Cricetulus griseus: one gene and its partner. The main gene of each other region encodes a partner of the protein of the gene in region 2 in a complex. Links are inferred from orthologs where the notes say so. Each region holds a gene or a part of one and is shown on either strand. Other genes may lie near its edges.

Region 1 (7,421 bases), about 65 Mb from region 2:
TTGCAGAGAAGGACAAGTGATGAGCAAAGGGGTCCAGACCAGGCTAGTGAAACCCACAGAAACAGTTGACCTGAACATCAGGGAGCTCTTGGTTCCCAGACTGATAGCTGGAATACCAGCATGGGACTGATCCAGACCCCAGGAACATGGGTTTCAGTGAGGAAACCTCGGAAATCTACAGGACCTCCTGTAGTAGTTCAGTACTTATCCCTAGCATAGGTGTGGACTTTGGGAGCCCATTCCACATAGAGGAATACTCCCTGAGCCAAGACACACAGGGGTGGGCCTAGGCCCTATCCCAAAGGATACAATAGACACTGATGACACCCTATAGAAGGCCTCACCCTCCAGGGGGAGAAGAAAGGATATATATATAATAGGTAGGGTTTTATTTGGGGGAGGGGTGGTAGGGGGAGGGGAGGGAGAGGGAACTGGGATTAACATGTAAAATAATCTTGTTTCTAATTCAAAAAAAAGAAAGAAAGAAAGAAAGAAAGAAAGAAAGAAAGAAAGAAACCCTCTTCTGCCCCTGTTCAGGGCCGCCAGAAGCAAAGCTCCCTAGTCCAAGTCCAAATCAGTAACCCACTTATGTGTTGTCTCTTTTCTTCCTTGTGGCACACAGTGGACTGGATGTAACAATATCACCTATCTACCTGGGGTAGAAGATGTTGCTAGAATTAGTGGATGCCTGTCCAAAATAAATTCAAGTTGGGTGAGGGATGTAGCTCAATGTTAGAATGCATGCCTAGCTATGCACAATTCAGGCCCCATTAAACAAATAAATCTATGAAAAACAAATAAATAAATTCAAGTGAGTCAGCCAGACTCTTGAGGGCAATCTATTTATTTATTTATTTATTCATTCATTCGTTCATTCATTCATTCATTCATTTTTGTTTTGTGGCAGGATCTTACTCTCTAGCTTAGAACTCACTATGTAGATCAAGCTGGCCTCAATATTGCAACAATCTTCCTGCCTTGACCTCAGGAATGCTAGAATTAGAAACATGAAACACCATGCCCAGTCCAAGTAGAATTTTTTTGTGGGCCTTAAAAGGTTGCCATATAAGCCAGATGTGGTGGCATATACTTTACTCTTAGCACTCCAGAGCCTGAGCTGGAAGAATCTCCATGAATTTTATGGCTATTCTGGGCTAACCCATACTACACAGTGAGTTCTAGGTCATCTTGGGTTACAGTGAAACCCTGCTTCAAAAAGAACAAACAACAAAATGTTCCATTTCTTAATGCTATTATGGCAAATAGATTTGACATGTGTTTGGAAGAGCATATGAATTCAAAAACCACCTCTTCAGCAAGCCACGAAGAATTCAAATGTGCCAAAATCTTGATTTTGAATTCCAGATCAGTCCAAAATAACTTTTTCTTATTTAAGTTCCCTAAACTATAGTGATTTGTGTTTTTGTTTGTTTGTTTTGTTGGTTGGTTGGTTTGAGTTTGTTTTGTTGTTGTTGGTAGTTTTTTGTTTGTTTGTTGTTGTTGTTTTAGTTTTTGGTTTTTCCAGACTGGGTTTCTCTGTATAGCCCCAGCTGTCCTGGAGCTTACTCTGCAGACCAGACTGGGCTTGAACTCAAGGAGATCCACCTGCCTCTGCCTCACCAGTGCTGGGACTAAAGGCATGCACTACCACACTTGGTATGGTGTTTGTTAGGCAAGCCAAAATAACTAAGCCTACCCAGATAAAAAAAAAAAATTACCTCTCTTCTTTCTTGAAAATTGTCCTCAAAGTCAGGACTGAATCAGCTGTCACTGTCACTAACACTTACCTACCGACTTTAAAGGAATTAATGTGTTCCAAAGGGAGGTGTTTTTGTCTTAGTGAACTCTCCCAGGCAAGGGAGTGCTAACACTCTGGAATGGCAGCCTGCAGGGCCATCGAATAGAGACCCTCGTTGCTATCCTCCAGCCTCATGTTGGGGGGCTTCAGGGAATGTCCACAGGACTTGTTGGTGTCACAGAGCAAAGGGGCAGATTCTACCTCAGAAAGTCTCATCAAAAGACTAAGGAAGCCAGGTGTGTGCCAGGTGTGGTAGCCCGTGCCTTCAGTTCCAAAAGGCAGAATCACACAGGTCTCTTAGTTTGAGACCAGCCTAGTCTACATACCAAGTTCCAGAACAGCTAGTGCTATACAGAGACTCTATATCAAAAAACAACCAAACACACAAAGACAAAGGGAGCTAAATTGCTACTAAAAGAGTAATGCTGAATAATTTTTATTATACATTATTAATAGGCATAAGAGTCACAATGTAGTACCTACCAAAAGAAGTAGTGTAGGGACTGCACAGGTGGCTCAGTAAATAAGAGCAGGCCCAGGCTCAATTCCCAGAACCTATATCAGTCAGCTCAAAGTAGCCTGTAACTCCAATTCCAGGGAGTTTGGTGGCCTCTTCTGACTTCTGGGGGCACCAGCCTGAACATGGTACACATATATAACCAGAACACACACACACACACACACACACACACACACACACACACACACACACCATCCTGCACATGCTGTACATATATACCTAGAACACACACACACACACACACACACACCATCCTGCACATGCTGTACATATATACCTAGAACACACACACACACACACACACACACACACACACACATATCACTAAAATAAGTAAATTGACAAAATGGGGGGCCAAAAAGAAAGAAAACAGAGGCTAGCAGACTGAACTTCCTAATGCTCTAGAAGCATAAATGTTAACTGTGGTCAAAGTGCTTCACAAGCACATCCCCCAAAATAACCAAGCTGGAGACACTGATTAGGCGGGCTTCTTTACCATGGAAGGAAGCCCGCAGTACTGCAGGAGTTGTCACGGTGCATCTATGAAGTCCCTTCTGCATTTCCAGACGATTAGGTTGAAGATCCTGCTTTCCAAAGAACTGGCATTTCGGAAGGAATCGACTTCCAACCATCCAGATATTTCCAGGCAGGACAAAAAATGGACAACCAACCAAGCAATCAACGAAAGAGAAAATAAACTGAAACTATCAAGCCCCCAGTGCTAGGTCTTCAGATCCCAGGCATTTGCTAGTGAGAAGTTGTGCGGTGACAATTACGTTAATTATGAACCAACAGCATATAAGTTTATCTCAACTGAAAAATATTTGCAGTTCCAGCACTGGGGAGGTTGAGGCAACAGGGAGCCTGAATTTGAGGGCAGCATAGTGAGTTCCAGGCAAAAATACGCAAATAATTCAAGAGGCAGAGGCAGGGGTATCTCTTTCGTTCCAGACTAGTCTGGTCTATCTAGCAATTTCTAGGCCAGCCCAGGGCTATATACTGATAACCTGTCTAAAATAGAATATTCAGGATGTGGTGATGCATGCCTTTAATCCCTGGATGTATAGGCAGGCAGATTTCTGTGATTTCTAAGATAGCCTGGTTCCAGAACAACCACGGCTACATAGTGAGACCCTGTCTCAAAACAAATTATAGGGTAATAATAATTACTGCATAAATCCATAATCAGCGTTACTTTTTCTAAGTGACTCTGTGGTAAAATTCTTAACTCTAGCAAGCCTCATAAAGTGAACTCTAAAATCACTTTCATTTTGCAACTAAAAAAAAAAAAAATGAGGCAGAGAATGTCTAAGTACTTTGCTCAAGTCCTACAATCGGTGGAGAGACCAGGTTAACATCCCAAGAATAGAGATGCTTGCACGCACTAGCCCTAGAGGACCACAGGCTGGAGCGGAAACCCCCACCAGGAAGCAGCTATGGGTCTGCTTTCTCAGAAGGAACCAGTTTGTGTCGGGGCTGGGACTCAAAAGCAAACAGTTCTGCTGGAATTGAGAGCTTGAAACTGTGCTCGGAGTGGAGGGGACTGACCATTGCAGCAACAGAAGCACACGGAGGTAAAAACAAACGGTTCGGAGATCTGTAAGTGGGCAGTGAGTGGAAGAAGACCCACACCCGGAAGTGGTCGGCCTGCTCCGCCCCTACCCCATCCCATCCCCCATCCCCATCCCCACCCCAGACCTCAGCAGCCCGCACAGCTGGAGCCACAGAGACATTTTCGCCTGCCCTCAGCTTCGGGTTCTGTGAAAACTTTCTCTGAAAATAGTTGGCGCTGCAGTTATTTGTTGCCTTGTCACTTACCACAGTAACTGTAGGAAAAAGTTGCATCGGAGGAGTTGCAGAACCACAGTTGCTGTTCAGATTCAGTAAATATGAGAGGAAGCAGCGTGGAAAAGAGAATAAATGGCAACATGATTTAATATCTCCAACACTTTCCACACTCAGGGAAGATCATCAGACTCGACAGTGAGGAAGAAGGAACAAACTTAGTCACCAGTCATGTGATTTCAAAGTTCCCATCCAACTGTTTCCTCTTTTTATTTGTGTGACTGTGCATTTGTTTTCGTTATCTGTGCACCTTCTGCTGCAAGGCAAGAGAAAGAAAATGACCTAGAATATACTGTTTCTGAACACTTAATGTAAATTAAAGTAATTGGCATTTTATTTACTTATTTAATCATTAGCACACAGGAAGTTTTCAGTGAGACGAAATGTCCTACAGGAGACCCTTTCTTAAAGTAAACTCAGCTGGGCATATTGGCGAAACACCTTTAAACCTAGCACTTGGGAGGCAAGGGCAGGTGGATCTCTGTCAGTTCGAGGCTAGCCTGATCTACAGAGTGAGTTCCAGAACAGCCAGGGCTATATCTTGAGACCCTGTCTCGAGAAAGAAAGAAGATCCACCATGGGTCTCACTACTACTCTGTGTGCATGACATTCTCTCCTGCAAGCTCATACAGTGGTTTCTCCTGGCCTGGAAAGATGCATCTAGCTATGTGAGCTGATCTCTTGAAAACTATTTCTACACAACAACAAAAAGGTTCAACCACAAAATAGAAAGGTGGATGATACCCCCACACTGGGGATATCAGCTGCAGTTCCCAGCTGGGACCTCACCAGTCTTGAGAAGATACTCAAAAGGAAGTTGAGCTTGAGGCTGTGGTGTTGAGTTGGGGTGGACTGAATTGGGATTGGTGCTGTGTATGCTAATATGTGCCCTAAGGGAGTCCTAAGTCCTCTTCTGAACATGGGAACTGCACTCCTCTGTGCAAATGCACACACACACAGACACATATACACATATTTTTAGAAAGTTTTCTGGGTAGTGGAAGTGCACACATTTAATTGGGAGGCAGAGGTAGGCAGATCTCTGTGAAATTGAGGTCATCCTAGTCTACAGAGTGGGTTCCAGGACAACAAAGGCTACACAGAGAAACCCTGTCCTGAAAAATCATAAATAAATAAATAAATAAATGGATAGATAGATAGATAGATAGATAGATAGATAGACAGATAGGTTGATAAATAAATAATGGGTGCTGGAGACATGTTTCAGCTATAAAGAGTATTGGCTCTTGCTGAAGACCAGGGCTCAATTTCCAGCAACTACATAAAGGCTCACAACCATCTGTAACACCATTATCAGGGTATCCAATGTCCTCCAATGTCCTCTGCTGGCCTCGATGGGTACCAGACACACACAAGGCCAACAGTCACACATGCACACAAAACACCCATGCACATAAAATAAATACGTATTTTTAAATATAACATAATAAAAAATCTTTTTCAAAAAAAACAAAACAAAACAAACTATATCAGGTCAGGCATGGCAAAAGAGCTACAGGATGTTCTACTTGGGAGACAGAGGCAGGAGGATCAGGAGTTCAATGTTAGTCTCAATTACAGAGTGAATTCAAAGCTAACCTGGGGTACATGAGACCAGAATTCAAATAAATAAACTAATAAATAAATCATAAAAACTAGGCCATACTCCATAAAATCAGAAAACTTAAGGAGATGGACAATTTTCTAGATAAGTACCACATACCAAAATTAAATCAAGAACAGATAAAAAACTCAAATACACCTATAACCCATAAGAAAATAGAAACAGTTATCAATAGTCTCCCAACCAAAAAAATGCCCAGGCCCAGATGGTTTCAGCACAGAATTCTATCAGATGTTCAAAGAAGAACTAATATCAACACTCTTCAAATTATTCCACACAATAGAAACAGAAGGAACATTGCCAAACTCTTGTTTGTTTGTTTGTTTGTTTGTTTTTTGGTTTTTTGTTTTTGTTTTGTTTTCCGAGACGGTGACAAGAACTTCCCAGCACAATTCTTCACAGACTTTGAAAGAACAATACTCAATTTTAGATGGAAAAACAAAAAAAACATAGGAAAGCTAAAACAACCCTATACAATAAAGGATCATCTGGGGGCATCACCATCCCTGACTTCAAGCTCTACTATAGAGCTATAGTAATGAAATAGTTTGGTATTAGCATAAAAACAGACAGGTGGACCAATGAAATCAAATTGAAGACCCTGATATCAACCCACACACTTATGAACACCTAATTTTTGACAAAGAAGCTAAAAATATAAAATAGAAAAGAGAAAGAAAGTATCTTCACCAAATGGTGCTGGTATAATTGGCTGTCAATAAGTAGAAGAATGCAAATAGATCCATATCTCTCACCATGCACAAAACTCAAATCAAAATATCAAAGACCTCAATATAAATCCATCCACACTGAACCTCATAGAAGAGAAAGTGGGAAATATCCTTGAACTCATAGGCACAGGAGACCACTTCCTAAATAGATCACCAGTAGCACAGATATTGAGAGCAACAGTTAATAAATGGGACCTCCTGAAACTGAGAAGTTTCTCTAAAACAAAGACCATGGTCAACAGGAGAAAATGGCTCCCTACAAAATGGGAAAAAAATCTTCACTAACCCCACATCTGACAGAGGGCTGATTTCCAAAATATACAAAGAACTCAAGAAACTAGAAATTCAACTACCAAATAATCCAATTAAAAAAAAATGGGGTACAGATCTAAACAGAATTCTCAACAGAAGAATCTCAAATGGCTGAAAGACACTCAGCATCCTTAATCATGAGGAAAATACAATCCAAAAAAACACTGAGATACCATCTTACACTGATCATAATGGCTAAAATCAAAAAACACAGATGATAGCTTATGCTGGAGAGGATGTGGAGAACTTGGAACACTCCTCCATTGCTGGTGGGAGTGCAAACTTGTACAGCCATTTTGGAAATCAGTATGGTGATTTCTCAGAAAATTAGGAATCATTCTACCTCAAGAATCACAATTCCACTTTTGGGCACATACCCAAAGGAGGCACATTCACACCACAAGGACATTTTCTCAACTATGCTCATAGCAACATTATTCATAATATCCAGAATTTGGAAACAATCTAGATAGCCCTCAACTGAAGAATGGATAAAGAAAATGTGGTATATTTACATTATAGAGTACTACTCAGCAGGAAGGAACAATTACATCCTAAAATTTGCTAGCAAATGGACAGAACTAGGAAAAA
Region 2 (7,375 bases):
ACAGGGCCTCATTTATCCCAGTCTGGACTTAAATTTACTTTACAGCCATAGTTGACGTTGAACTCCTGATCTACCTGCCCACACCACACCAGTGTTGATATTATAAGAGTAAGACACCACATCTATCATCACCCATTCATTATCTACCACTTCATGTTTATAAAAATCTCTTCTTCTATACAATAGGAAAAAAGTATCCCCTGAATTCTCACAGTGTTAGCCTTTTACTACAAAAAAAAAAAACATTATTAAATGAGGAACAAGAGAATCAGGAATTAAAGGGCTATCAATTCTTAAATCCTCGGTTTCATAACAGATGTTCTGTGCCACGGGGTGCAAAGAAACTTTTTTTTAACCATTTTATTTATTTATTCTTGAGATTATAATTATATCATTTCCCTTCCTCCCTTGAAGTCCTCCCTCACCCCTTTCTTTGATCTCTTTCAAATCCATTTCCTCTTTTTATTCATTAGTTTTTGTTACATGCATATATATATATATATATATATATATATATATATATATATATACCATAATTACATAAGTACAGCCTGATCAATTTGTATAATATTACATATATATCTTTTCAGGGATGACCATTTCATATTTGGTAACCAATTAGTATTCTCTTCCCCAGCAAGATTCTTTCCCATACAACAGACCATTACAGAAAACCAAAACCAATCAAAATGCATAATTCTGCATCCCAGTTCCAAGGGATACATTAACAATAAAACACTTGCATCTAAAGCTCAGAGGTCATTGTAAAACGGGGCAATGAAAGAATATAATATAATATAATATAATATCCAAGGGAACAAGTTTATTGTGATATTGTGTCTCCTAATAATGTCAGAAACTACACTCATAAAGACAGACTTTGATAATCCCTCATGGAAGGCCTCACCCTCCCTGAGGAGCAGAAAGTGGATGGGATAGGGAGTTGCTGTGGGGAAGGGGAGGAGGGGAGGGAGATAGAACTGTGATTGACATGTAACAAGATTGTTTCTAATTTAAATTTTAAAAAGGAAAAAAAGAAGCCTCATTAACATGACTTCCTAAACATGACAACAAGACATGCTACCATGGATAGAGTAAAAAGCTCAGGAGTCCTCAACTCTCTACAAACTAATGAATGTTGAGAATGAGACAATGTTTGTTTTATAATACCTTCAGCTAATTTAATTAGTTTTATGTAAAATACACATATTTTGTAAATACATAGTTTTATGTAAAATTACTATCATTCTAATTACATATCCTAATTATATACAGACACATGGAGAGTACCAATGAAGACATCCAGATATTTTTTAGATACCACCTATTTTAGACAATTACATTTTCTTTCTTGGCTTATTGACTTTAGCAACTTGGTGTAGGAATGAGAGGAAGTCTTAGAGTACATGGAATCCATTGATCAAGGCCAAGTGTTTTGTGCTGTTATAGTCCCCACTTAGTTTTATCTATTTTCTCATATTTACTGTAAACCCTATTCCATAACCTTCCAATTAATTTCATAATTACATGATTTCTTCCAGAAAATTCTTTGTTTAACCCAGTGAGTTTTGCTTTCTCTTATTTAAAAGAAATAGAATTCTCAAAGGATTAAATGAGATCAGATCTTATCTCAAAGCTTGCTATAATTAAAGTGATGAATATTAATGTTAATTATCATTGGCTATTATTAATCCCTTGCTGTATATCAACAATTTACTTACATGTTATGTATTTTATGTTAATCTTCAAAACATCTTTTAAAGATGGAAAAATGAGAAGATGGGGTAATGCACATAAAGGATTTATCCATGTATGTTCACATTTGTCTGCTTACACGATACTTACCATAGTATCCTTAAAGAGAGTGCTTCTAATAGAATAAGGTGTCAGGAAGAAATTCTTCACTTGCCCTCTTTTATTTCCTTCATAGGTTTCAATCACAGAGCAACTTTGTGTTGCTTATATAATTATTTTCCAAATGTCGTTCATTTGATGAACTGGATTATGAGCTTTGATGCTCTGATGATTTTGTTTGGTACATTGTCTCCAAGGCTCAGAAAGTTGCAAGGTGACCTGTCAATGCCCATTAGCTATTTGTTGCATGAGTGAATGATAGAAAATTCTATACCTGGTGAACAGAGGTCCATGTAAACCAAATGGTAGGCTTTTTCTGCTAAGGGCCATGAGCAGTACAAAAATAAATGCTGTACAATTCCAGTTGTCATCGAACTCAACATCAGTTAGAAGAGAAGGAAAGGGACTAAAACCTACAAAGCAAGCCTGGTTCACAGGTAATAGAGACTGATTGTAGACCCAGAACATGGAAGGTGAGCAGTATCTGACATGTGGAAAAGGGAAGAAATGTAAATCATAAGAAGAAAAGAACATAAGCAAGTAAAGGGTAGGAACAAATTCAGATGAATTGGCTAGCAACAGGCAAGGGAGGAGAGCCTTAAGTTATGGGTAGCTACAACCTGAACACAAGAGCATCAGACATTGTCCAGCAGTCATTCTTTCATTTGCATACAAACTAAAGACCTACTATGATCTAGACACTGGTGGCATATTGATAAACCCAGCAGAAAAGGAAGGATAACTAATTAAAAACAGACAAAAATATGATATGATATGATCAATGAAAACACACACAAAGAGGCCAAAGGCAGATATCTCCATCTGGGAATCAAGAAAAAACACCCTGGGGAGACCCTTTTACAGAGATCTACATAAAGTGAAAGTGAAACATTAAATCCTGAAATCAAAGTCCTACATTCTGTCTGTGGCTATATGTCACAGACAACTGTTGAACATGAACCATGTGTGTAGTATAAATCAAATTTTGTAGTAAACATAAAATATTGCTGACTTTCTAATATTCTGTAGCAAAAATGGAACATAAACTATCTTCTTAATAGTTGGACTATATTTGATTATATAATATATATCACTAAAAATAACTTCACTCATTTTTTTTCAGTTTGACCACCAGGAACATTTTAAACTATATAAGCAGATCCCAAAATTTTATCATAAGACAGCTCTGATCTAGGGGAGGGGTTGTGTGGGTAGGACAAGCAGTGAAACTACTCTGTAGGAAAAACAGCCTTGGAGGCACTAAAGAGTTATTAAAAATGGTAAAGGAGTAATTTGATAAATCCAGTCCTCTGGCCCGGTGAAAACAAATAGAGATGAAAGTGTGGTTACAGAAAGGACAGCAAATTAGGGAACCAGTCATAATCCCTGGAGACAAGGCCCATGGAACTGAGACATGAGCTTATGGAAGAAACAGGCTGACTATGGGGGTTTCCAGAGTACAGTATATACCACAGGATTTTTTCTCAGTATGAAACTGATTGGAAACTCTATCTCTGTCAGCATAACTAAGGAATCAGAAGACAAGATACCGAGATAGCAAGGAGTTAGTCTTTGTTATGCTATAATATTTTTTCCAGGTCAACACCGTGACTCCAACTTGTAATACCTGTCTTGAGCTTCTGAGCCTGCCTCGCCCTAAATTATTTCCCTGTTTGTTCAGCTCTATTGTGAGCTTCTGAGATAATTGTGTGGTCTGTGCAGTGAGAAAATAAGAATTAGTCATGAATCATATTACTCACTAGTCATTGTTTCACCAAGAAGGGAATTACTGCCTTAGCTGATGTTTTACATTGTTCTCTGCCTCTTTCTGTTGTCTCTGTCTATCTCATTCTCTGTCTCTCTGTCTTTATCTTCCTCCCGTTTGTCTTTCCCCTTCCCTCCCTCCCATTTCATTATTTTCTAAAATTAGTGGTAGAATTTAAAATTCTCAGAAAATTCTTTCATTTGGAAAAAAATTACAGTTATTAACATGTGTGTGTGTGCGCGTGCGTGCGTGCGTGCGTGCGTGCGTGCGTGCGTGCGTGTGTGTGTGTGTGTGTGTGTGTGTGTGTGTGTGTCCACTTTCATGCATGCACACAACTGTCAGGGCAGACACTTGGAACTCAGAGAATGAAGTAGATTCTCTGCTTCCACCATGTGGGGCTTGAAGATTGACTCAGGTAGTCAGGCTTGTCAGCAACTGACTGAACCTGCTGATCGACCACTCCATCATACACAGATGCTACTTAAGAGACAGAAATGACAGCCACCTTTACCTGAGTAGGAAAGGAAAGGAATGACTTCTGAAAGCTGAGTGTCCACAGTACCAACAGAAAGGCCTGCTATTACTAGCCTTCTCCAATCCCCCTGTGAGCACTGTAATTCTTTTACAGTGTGAAAACTGGCCTCAGAAAGGTTCAGTAACTTCTTGGCTGTCACTCAGCCAAGTCACAGAAACAATATCCTTAGTTTTACTAATTTCAAGTCTTTAATAATCATGGCTCGGAAGTCTAAACAGAACAAGACACTGACTGGCTGCCTGTTGCTGCCCTGCTAACACAGAGTCTCTTTGTCCTCACAGCTTCTCAAGTTTTTGGTTAGTTTAACTCCTGTGTGCAAAATAAACAAATCAGAACACACAGCAGGAAGCTCCGACATAGGGAGAGTTTTGAGAAACAAGGGAGGCTAACAGGAAAGGAGCTGGTCGAGACACATACCTCCACACAGGGATCCAAGCTTTCAGGTCTCAGGGAGGAGAGGAACAATGCCATCATCAGTGTCCCAGCCAGGCAGAAAGAAGGCATCATCCTGGCATTTTCTGCAACCAGCCGAGGCCGTGAGAAAGCATGATGAACTAACTGTAGCCGTTGGCAAGGCAGAGTCCCTGGGGCACCGGCCTCTTCTCTCTGGGCGGGTGCCCCTCTGAAAGAACTATATTAAAAAATGTTCTGGGCTAAGGGTGAGAGGAAGTGAGAGTGGCAACCTTAGCATTCTCACTTTTTTTTTTTTTTCTTTCTTTCTCTAGAATGTATCTACCCTATCTCAGGAGGCTAGATAGAAGACTAAGGAAAGAACAGGAAGAAGGCGTTTGCCGACCAGCCTGTGGAGGAACAGCAAGAGGAAGCTGGCTTTCATCCCAGGAAGTCATCTGACCTCTGGGCTTGGGGAACGCAGAAAGTAACCAGATACTCATGAAGCCAGTATATGTGCCTGGAGCAACGTCCACATTCCTGTTTTGTTTTCACTAGTGGTCAAGCTAGACTTCTAGGTATCTGACGGCACAGTACTGCACTGGGTGTTACAAACTACAGAAACTTATTTTCTCACAATTCTGAAGGGTGGAAGCCAGAAAAATGATGTTGTGGGGTGTGTCTGTGTCCTGATCTTTTCTTGGTTGGGTATATGTGTACGCACCTGTGTATGTGTACCTGCTTATTCATGGGGGGGATGAATACTTCATGTGTGTGTACTCTCTGTGTACACTTGCAAGTGTGTGTGTGTGTGTGTGTGTGTGTGTGTGTGTGTGTGTACCAGAGTTCACTGTTGGATGACTTCCTTGTTTGTCTCCATTCTTCTGCTACTATTAATTATTAATTATAACTATTATTATTACTGTTAGAGAAAGGAACAGACACAGTTTATTACAAAGGGGAATGCATTCCCAAGAATAAGAGTTGGCTAGTGAGCTGAGGGTAAAACTCAGAAGACCCCACTGCAATTTTGGAGCCAGGGTCTCTAATTGACTGCTCATTCATTGACTAGACTGAGTGGCCAGTGAGTTCCTGAGATCTAGTCTTCTCTGCCCCTACCTCAGTGCAGGAGTTAGAGGTACATGCAAAGCATCCAGTTTTTATGAGGGTGCTAGCAGTCTGCAGGTCTTCTGGCACATAAAACACTTTACTGACATGTCTCCCCAGGCCCTGCTTCTTTTTGTTTTGTTTTGTTTTTCGAGGCAGGGTTTCTCTGTGTAGCTTTGGAGCCTATCCTGGCACTCGCTCTAGAGACCAGGCTGGCCTCTAACTCACAGAGATCCACCTGTCTCTGCTTCCTGAGTGCTGGGATTAAAGGTGTGTGCCACCAATGCCCGGCCCCCTGCTTCTTTTTTTTTTGTGGAAAGATATAAAACATGATAGATGGAACATTGGATGTACAACTAGAAGAACAAGTCACAGTATATTGAGCCATGAGAACACCCAGACCGCTACCCACCCAACCCCAAATCCTCAGCTTCTGAAAAGAGGATGGTGACCACAGGGGTCCTGGAGGTACCCAGAGTCTGGAAAGCTGCAGAGTCCACGAGCATAGCACACTGTGATACTGGTCACATGGACAGCCCAACTGTTTTCCCAAGCACTGCTGCCAAGGATGACTCAGGATGCTGAGTATGGAATCAAGATGGTAGCAATGGCTGGAGCCATACTACTGGAGAGAGGTTCACACGGAGGATCTGCTGGGCCCACTGTAGAACCTCATCTTCTGAGAATTTTCTGTGCTCCATTATAGTCTGGGACTTTCGTGGTTTTGCTCTAGGCCGCAGCCTTGCCTTAGAAGACTGGAGCACAAACTGTGCTCTCTTCTTAGGAGGAAGACCCTTTACCTCCTCAGCCTTCTTCCTCTTCTTCCCCACAGACTCAGAGCCACTTTTCAGGCTTGTCCTTCCAGTTCTACTCTGAACAGATCCTTTTGGCCTTCCCTTGTACTTGGTCTGAGCTGCTTTGGCCTTGGCTTGTCCTTGACCACCTTGGCTTTAGCCTTGTCCCTTACTACAGTGGCCTTGGATTTGGCTCCTGTTGCCCTGGGCTTGGTCTTTGTTGTCTTGGCCCTGACCCTTACTGACTTGTTCTGGGTTCGAGTTAGGCTGGCGTGGGCATGAGCAGCTTTGGTCAGTGTTCGAGATGCCTTGGCCCGCACTGTTTTGGTGCCCAAGGCAGAGTACCCTTTCACACGTAGGCCACTGCTCCGGGGCCCAGTGCCTTGTTGATCAGCCCCAGGGCCTTTCCTACTCAGGCATTTGATGCCTTTGCTTGTTATTTTCTGGGATGCTTTGGACTGTGGGTTCCCCGAACCTTTCTCAGTTTCAGGGTAGAGTTTGCAAGTGACAGCAGCAGTGATTGTGCCCTGTTCTTAATACCCAAGCAAGGAATCTTGAGTGGAACCAGTGCTTCAAGGACCACAGACAGTCGTATGTCAGGGTAGACACCTGGGTAGAGGTGGGCAGGGAAGCCTACTGTTGTACCACTGGTGTGGCTGGCATTTGATTGCTTCAGAGAGCTCAGCAGCAAGTTAGTGGTAGCATGCTTGGCGAGGGCCGGTGTGGACCCCTTAGTCAGCCTGCCAAACAGTGGCACGGGAGCAGTGTGGCTGGATTGCAGGTTGCAACACAGCACTTTGGGGAGCCCTGGATGGAAGAGATGTGGCAGATGGGTTGGTGTTACGAGCTTGTAGCTTTGTCTGGCTGGGGGGCGGTGGCTGTGCATGAACTAAAGCCATAGACATCACCACTTCACAGAATGGTCCCCTG

The links.
Region 1: the proteins of Tlr4 (region 2) and Ly96 are in contact, whole or in part, in a crystal structure (PDB 4G8A), measured with the Homo sapiens proteins. The link is inferred for Cricetulus griseus from reciprocal best matches to the Homo sapiens genes TLR4 and LY96. Residues at the interface, in NP_612564.1 of Homo sapiens: Gln39, Met41, Glu42, Asp60, Ser62, Phe63, Asp84, Ser86, Arg87, Thr110, Gly111, Val132, Val134, Glu135, Asn156, His159, Ser183, Ser184, Asp209, Leu212, Arg234, Val259, Glu262, Phe263, Arg264, Asn265, Glu266, Arg289, Ala291, Tyr292; in NP_056179.4 of Homo sapiens: Met40, Tyr42, Ile66, Pro67, Arg68, Arg96, Ser98, Asp99, Asp100, Asp101, Tyr102, Ser103, Phe104, Arg106, Leu108, Lys109, Gly110, Glu111, Thr112, Thr115, Thr116, Ile117.

What each region holds. Positions count from the first base shown.
Region 1 is NC_048595.1:144,328,228-144,335,648, forward strand, and holds the start of Ly96 (lymphocyte antigen 96 precursor), read right to left. Parts: upstream 4,275-7,421; 5' UTR 4,249-4,274; coding exon 4,137-4,248; intron 1-4,136. UniProt on the Homo sapiens protein: Binds bacterial lipopolysaccharide (LPS). Cooperates with TLR4 in the innate immune response to bacterial lipopolysaccharide (LPS), and with TLR2 in the response to cell wall components from Gram-positive and Gram-negative bacteria.
Region 2 is NC_048595.1:79,142,203-79,149,577, forward strand, and holds the start of Tlr4 (toll-like receptor 4 precursor), read right to left. Parts: upstream 4,911-7,375; 5' UTR 4,662-4,910; coding exon 4,572-4,661; intron 1-4,571.